2 linked regions of the Bombyx mori genome follow. The protein of the gene in region 1 interacts with the protein of each later gene in a pairwise test. Links are inferred from orthologs where the notes say so. Each region holds a gene or a part of one and is shown on either strand. Other genes may lie near its edges. The genes, in order: LIM and senescent cell antigen-like-containing domain protein 1 and ras suppressor protein 1.

The links.
Region 2: the proteins of LIM and senescent cell antigen-like-containing domain protein 1 (region 1) and ras suppressor protein 1 interact in a two-hybrid assay, tested with the Caenorhabditis elegans proteins (2 studies listed by BioGRID). The link is inferred for Bombyx mori from reciprocal best matches to the Caenorhabditis elegans genes unc-97 and rsu-1.

Annotation. Positions count from the first base shown.
Region 1 is NC_085112.1:7,031,540-7,034,794, reverse strand, and holds the end of LIM and senescent cell antigen-like-containing domain protein 1, read left to right. Parts: coding exon 1-74; intron 75-901; coding exon 902-1,092; 3' UTR 1,093-2,454; downstream 2,455-3,255. UniProt on the Caenorhabditis elegans protein: Component of an integrin containing attachment complex, which is required for muscle development and maintenance. Probably function in adherens junction.
Region 2 is NC_085115.1:769,579-774,020, reverse strand, and holds the start of ras suppressor protein 1, read left to right. Parts: upstream 1-1,452; 5' UTR 1,453-1,499; coding exon 1,500-1,650; exon of another isoform or gene 1,651-1,938; intron 1,939-2,032; exon of another isoform or gene 2,033-2,344; coding exon of another isoform or gene 2,345-2,495; intron 2,496-2,938; coding exon 2,939-3,229; intron 3,230-3,551; coding exon 3,552-3,634; intron 3,635-4,442.

The sequences.
Region 1 (3,255 bases):
CTACTGCGAACAACATTATCACCAGTTGTTCGGCAATTTGTGCTACGTCTGTAATCAAGTTATCGCCGGCGACGGTAACTATTCGATTATTTCATTTAAAATTTAATGATTTCGGCATGTGATATGATGAGGTTTCATAATTGTCTGTATTGTATTGGTTTATCGTTTAAGTACACTGTTCTGCGTAATAAGTAAGTTGTGTTAATAAATATAATTTTTAATAAAGAAAACAATCGAAAATGGCCAAGTGGAGTACACGCAATAGTTAAATTTAATAAAAATCTTTGTTTTTTAACTAAGTTTAATAATGCTTTAATATCGTGCGGGCTAATACTGGAAAAAGCCTACTGAGTTTCTCGTCGGATCTTCTCAGTGGGTCGCGATTCCGATCCGGTGGTAGATTTTGCGAAGCAACGTCGTCAGGTTAGAGCACCTATTCGCACAGTTAAGTTGACATAACCTCACGAGATTACCAGCATAAGTGGTAAAAGAACGGGAAAGATTTCTACACATAGCTGTTGCACAAAATAAGTTCTGAACACAATATTTGTGTTATTGGTTAATAATCATAAACGTTTTTATAATATCACAATTCACTTAAAAACTAATTATATTCAGTGTGATTTGAAATTATATCTTGCTTATTTAGCTGATTTTTTTATATTATCGAATGAATATATTCTTAACTTCTTAAAAATTTGTGTGCTAGTATGTATTATAATTATGAAGGTTTTAATGTGAATATAATATAGGTTATATATCACAAGTAACATGTTACACATAATATGTAACTTATTGTGTTGTACTGCTGATTGCTACTTCAATAACACAAACTGGTCGAATCAAAAATATCTATTTAATTTACCATTTTTTTTCTTAATAACTGTAATTTTATTCGTAGTATTCACCGCATTGAACAAGGCTTGGTGCGTACATCATTTTGCGTGTTCCGTTTGCGATGCGCCGCTGAGCACGCGTAGCAAGTTCTACGAATACGACGAGAGGCCCGCCTGTAGACGCTGCTACGAGAAGTTCCCGGCTGAACTACGACGTCGGCTACGTCGGGCTCATCACTACACGGTCCGCCGTTAACGAAAAATACAAGGAATAAACGACATTAATCTGTCTATACCAGTGGTGGGCAAACATTTTTAATGGCGGCCACAATGTTTAGGAAATACTAGAGGAGGGCCAGAATTATAGAAAAATGTTTTTTTTTCTCCAATAAATGAGATAATGAAAGCTCCAATTCGTCAGGGGTGTTTTGAGGGGAGTTTTGAAAAATTCGAAGATTTTCAATTATAAACGTCAGATTTTATTTTACGCGCCAAACTGCCGACTAGAATATTTGGGACGGACGGACTCTCGGCGGGCCGGATTAAAATACTTCCGCGGGTCGTACTTTGCCCATCACTGGTCTATACTATACTAAACCACTATACCACAGTAATGTCGGTGTTCACATTTTTTTAACATAATTAACTAACAAATTTAAAAATATAATAAATGTAGTATGCACTTGCCATTTGTGCCTTGAAGTACCTACTATGTAACAACTAAACTTATTAATGTAATATATTAAGTGTAAAATGTAATAATTAATTATTTTATACCATACAAAATATAATGATTATGAATGTTGTCTTTACTCGCACTGATCATTGACGCGTTCGCTATTTTGTTCAAGTGCAATGGATTTATTTATTGATTTGACTCCTTTAAAAATATTATTTTGAAGTCGCTCTTATCTATTTACGACCAGATGAGCTATAAGTCAATTTAACTCTATTGGCAATAAAAATGTATCTGTTGAATGTGCTTGTAAACTATGTTTTGAATTAAGTCAAAATATCAGTTTGGTCACGTGAACCTGAATTTAAAAGCACAAAATATAAACGTAGAACTATTTCTAAGTTAACTATTTATATTAATGAACTCAAAAGGCTTGGCTTCATAAGCCAAAACGGAAACAAATCTGTAGATATTGTACACTATATGAAGATTATTAATATAAATTTTCGATGATTTTTATAAACCAATTGAACTGAATATTACAGCAAATGTGTGGTCAAAATGACGAATTTGGATCTAATTATTTTTTAATATTAATTATATAAGATTATCTTAGCCAGGGACAATGACAGTGACAATCAGACCGATATAAATGATATTTGAAAAACCCTCTGAAATGATAAATATATTTCAAAAAATTATATTCATTCCATTTTGAAGAATGCTACTTTTGACTATAATATGCTACTGCATTGTATATTAATGTCACGTTTTTAGCATGCCTTACATTAGACGAAAATTATGATTTAAAAGAAAAAAGAAAACTTGTTTCGCACCCTTTGTAATATTGTTTTTAACCCTTTTAATGTATAATACAGATATTTTATAATTTAATTTAGATCTAAATATTTATGTAACACCAAATAAAGTTTTTTACTAACACGTTATTCTTTTGATTATTGTACAATGCACGGGATTAGGGTTTCGTCAAGTTACCAAATACAAAATCAAAATTTTGGGAAGTTTTGATTTTAAGATTCTAATTTGTAATTTATTTTGTTATAGACAGCGTGTTTAGTGCGACTTTTTTAACGTTCTCGCATGTAATTAGTATGGAGTTGGAACGTTTGTCCCTAGCGGCAAATTTATGTTACCTTTTACGCTATCGAGAACGTTAAAACACTCGCATTAAGCACATAGATAGGCTATATTGTCATTTTATAAGTGGTCGTTGTTGCTCATGAACATCAGCAAACAAAAGGGTAATAATAAAAATAAAATCATTTATTGTCTTTCACATTAAATAGAATAAAATACAAGAAAAATAAAAATTAAAAAAAAGACAAAAGGAGGTGGCTCAGCTAAGGCTGTTCAAGGTCGATAAATCGAACAGCGCTGATTATCCACAATACGAGGTTCTTTATTTTAAGCTATTGCATAGCTTTTTTTAATGTTTAATATGGCGTGGTCTTGTTTTAATATTAAATTATAATTGCATAAGTTGATAAAAAATGCATACCGCGGCAGTTCCCCAGTGCCACACGTTTGTTTTTTTTTTATTGCTTAGATTGGTGGACGAGCTCATAGCCCACCTAGTGTTAAGTGGTTACTAGAGCACATAGACATCTAAAACGTAAATGTGCCACCCACCTTGAGATATAAATTCTAAGGTCTCAGTATAGTTACAACGGCTACTCCACCCTTCAAACCGAAACGCATTACTGTTTCACGGCAGAAATAGAC
Region 2 (4,442 bases), on another chromosome or scaffold:
TTTTGATCCTGATATAGCATTATATACATCAACAACTACCTTAAAATTGCTCATAAAGTTGGAATTTGTCCCTAATCGCCCCATTTTACGGTAATCTATGGGTGACACTATGGTGACACTGCTATGTAAGTAGGTATGTACGTCTAACGTCAATTTCTTTTTCTTTCTTGGATATTGTACAAGGCAAAAGGAACGCAGTCTATACAACTAAACTTTAAAAAAAAGACCGAAATCATATCTGTTGAATGAAAGAAAAATTAATCACAAAGATATCAAATTGATGAATTAAAATAACCTCCCAATAAATTCTAAAAAAGTTTGGAAACTCAGTAGATTTTTTAAGAGAACTCGAGAACCATCGATTTTATTTCTCGCATTTCGTAAATTCGAGCATAGTTATTGTTACCATAATTATCAAAAATGTTTAAGTGTAAAGGCGGCAGATAATGGCATGGAATGGTCCGTAATAAGCTCTTGTTGCGAGGAGGTGGTCACGACCCTCAGTATTGAGGAAACCGAAGCAAGAAGAAGAAGAAGTGTAAAGAAACTTCAAAACCAACGAAATAATACAATTCGTATAGCCTCTTAGTATACTCTCGACAAAATTTCCCCCGTAAACTTTAATAGGGGTTTGATTTATATAAATAATGTTGTAGATTTAATTTTTTCAGGTCTAGCTAAATTTAATTCTGTATGTCTTCTACCATTATGAAATGAAATTGATATTTATTAAAAATGTTTTGTAAAATGTACATAAAATGTAAACCCATCGAGCCTATTTCTGTGGTGAAGCAGAGCATTCTTATTTAAAACATGGAATAGCTGATAGTGCCCAATGCAATGATAACATTTTGTCTTAAAGTCGGCTTCAATGGCTCAATTAACCTTGTAATATCCATGGGAGAGGGGACAAACAATTATACCAAAAATAACTAGAAAATTTACTAAAATAACTAGGTATATGTACGACTTTTCTTCATTTTTTTGTCAAGATCAAGAAGCAACAACTTACCAAAGCAAAATGGTATAAATTAATGTTCCAGAGCGTTAATTATTCATTCTTCTAACATATGTTAGAAAGAGACAGACATAGAAAGAGAAAGAGAAGAAACGAGGGAAATAATCATTTCAAATTTGAAAATTATTACAATGTAAAAAATAAAAATACCATAAATGTTAAAATATATATAGTAAGAAATGTCTCAAATTCTTGATCATGTTTAATCTTTCTTTCGTAAAGAGGCGAAAGCCCTAAAAGAAGAAAGTAGTGATTGATTTTTCAATATTTTTCATCTTTTTGTAGTGATATTCTAACAGTCTATCGGGATATTTAACAGACTACGATATATAAATATATTAGACAAGTAATACCCGGTCAAATAGAAAATATTATGGTAAATAAAAAAAAAACAGGATTTGAAGGTTGATGCTTAACAATGTTAATTTTAAGGTTTGAAACGCGATTGTTGTTTGGGCGTAGGAAAACCATCTGTTTGATAATGAGTCATCAACCCCCAGTATCTTGTATTCCAAACACAGGCAAGATGTCGAAAGCTAAAAAAGTTATTGAAGAAGCCAAAGAAATAAATAATCCGGAAATCGATTTAGTCGACAAAGGAATATCTAGTCTCGAAGAGATTCCAGGCTTATGTGAGTGTCAAATAAAACCTGTTTTGTATCTTTTTTTTTTAACTAAATATTTTTAGTTCGTTTCAATTTTTACATCTATGTTTCAATAAAAAAGCTTAGATCGAAACCTAAGCTTAATGTATACTTTCGAATTTTAATTTATTCTACAGTTAGCTAATTTTAAAAACTAATAAATAACTGAAGTATTCTTACAATAAGTGTATTCGCCTACATAACCGTTGCAACTCATCTATAATAAATATTTTGAAGACAACAAACATGAAATATTAATTTAAACCTCATTTGGATGTAAATTCTCCAATGTTAACATTATATTAAACATAATAATATGTAATATAAGGTAAAAAATTGAAGTACTAATTAAAATATGACATCACTGCAGACCTATAATTCAAAATGAAACTCCTACGCCTTAAGACGGAACAGGATCAAACTTACGCTTAAAATAAGCCATGAAATATTGAAAAATGTTTGCAAGTTCCACACTACATTAGAACCATCAGTCTACTCAGTTATGGGTTTCAAGAAACTATGTGATTGAATGTACTGATGAAGAAATAGAAATAAAAGAATAACATTGCAGTGCTTTATCTGAAGGAAACAAACATCTTAGTGTCTTATGTGCTTATTAACCATTTAATATTAGAAGATTTGTGCATAGGGCCCACCTAAAGGCAATTAGTCACTGTTGTGCATGTGCTCAGTAATTATAGGGCAACAGCCATACTGGTCCATACTATTGAGCACTCCACAAACCTCATTTGAAGTAGAACAGGAAGGAAGGGAAAAATGGTGGAGGATAATTTATTCTAAAGCTGGATACAAAATAGCAGGAAATATGTCTGGTAATGCATTGTGGATGAATGCAGTGGTACCACATAGTATATTTGAATTGTGTTCTTGTGGTGGGCAATACAATAGTAAAAAGTAAATGAACAAATTCTTAGAGCACTTTCCAAGGAGCATACAGTACAAAAAACAGAGACAATTTACTTGTTTAAGACAATTTACTTTAGAGGGAATTCCTTCTGTAAACCCAAAGACTACAAATTGTCTATGTGAATAATATTATCAACAACATGGCCCTCTTTTGTATAGAAACAGATGGTTTGACCAGAGATGTGAGCAGTATTCCATGTGTGTCCGAACTTGTGCTTACAGATCAATGTATGATAAGAAAAAAGTTATGTAGCCCAAAGTATACAATGAGAAAACTATTTCTGTGATGACTTTGTATGCAAATATTAAATTCAAATAAAAATCTACCCAAATCTATTATCTTTTACAGTTTCTCTGGAGAACATCACTCGTCTGTCCCTAAGCCACAACAAAATCTCTGTAGTGCCTGCTGCACTAGCCAACTTGAGCAACTTAGAAATTCTAAACTTGGCCAATAACAACATTCAAGAGCTTCCAGTCAGCTTATCATCACTACCCAAGTTAAGGATCCTCAATGTTTCATTAAACAAACTGTATAACTTGCCAAGAGGCTTTGGTTCCTTCCCTGTGCTAGAGATATTGGATCTAACATACAATAATTTGAATGAAAAAGTATTACCTGGGAACTTCTTTATTATGGGTAAGTTATTTAAAATCATTTAAAATCACTAACTCTATTGGTTTTCTCACCCAGTTGAATATTCGTCTCTGGAACAACTATTGAACACTTTATCTCTAAGTACAAAGGCTATAGTGTGAATCTTTTTTGATGTTGATAGCAATAATGGATGTAGATGTAGGTCAAAATTTGTATGGTAGATAATTGGCTCCACCTAGTATCAAATGTGATTTGATACCTGCAATTCCATAGATATACATCAAAAGTTTACTATACAATTACATACATCTCACCACCAATCATGATGATTGACTAAATAGTACTTTTAATTCACTATTCACAGACAGTCTCCGTGCTTTGTATTTGGGTGACAATGATTTTGAATTTCTACCACCTGAAATTGGAAATTTGAAGAATCTACAAATTGTAAGCATTCTTTTAATCATTAGTCAAACTTTTAATTTACCCATGATTAGTGAGCTTTATAGACCACTCCATTAAATAACCTCTTACAGACCTGAGATATTTGAGTCTGCTACCTATAATATCTAAACTATAAGCGGAAATTGCATCCAAGCAGCATGCTGATATATACTACACAGACGATGGCACAATGCACAGCTTTCGTCGCCCTAAGCGTGTCAGATCCTTCCGATCCAATTAGTGTTTTAGTTCTAGTTAAACTTCTTGAAAAGTTCCACTTGTAACTTAACCTATAGACACAATCTGCTAAGTTTTCGCCGGATCTTCACAGACAGTCACAATTTCGATACAAGTATTAACAAGTTCGGTTGAGCCTGATGAGCTCATGTGCCAAAACGTACATAGCTGAATTAGCCCTTCGAGGCGAGCAGCGATTAATTATGGAAAAAACAATGTTATTGAAGAAGTTGGTAATGAAAAATACACAATTGGGGGATATCATTGTATGAAAATAGATTGTCTTAAAAATATCTATTTTTAATATAAGACCAAATCTTGTTTTTTATTGTTATGTTTCAAGAGAATTTTCTTAAGAGTGCTATATTTAGTGAAGGAATTAATAGAAGCTGTTTTAGTTTACAAATCGACTCATCTAGGATTCTTTATATATCTAGCTAATAGTTGTAAACCAATCCGGTCGTTTCCATACACAAACAGGAAACACGTTAAAATATGTTTTTGATATAAATTTCCTTTCTGTGTCATAATAACGCAAATATCGAATTATTACTATTTATTTTAGTCTTGATAA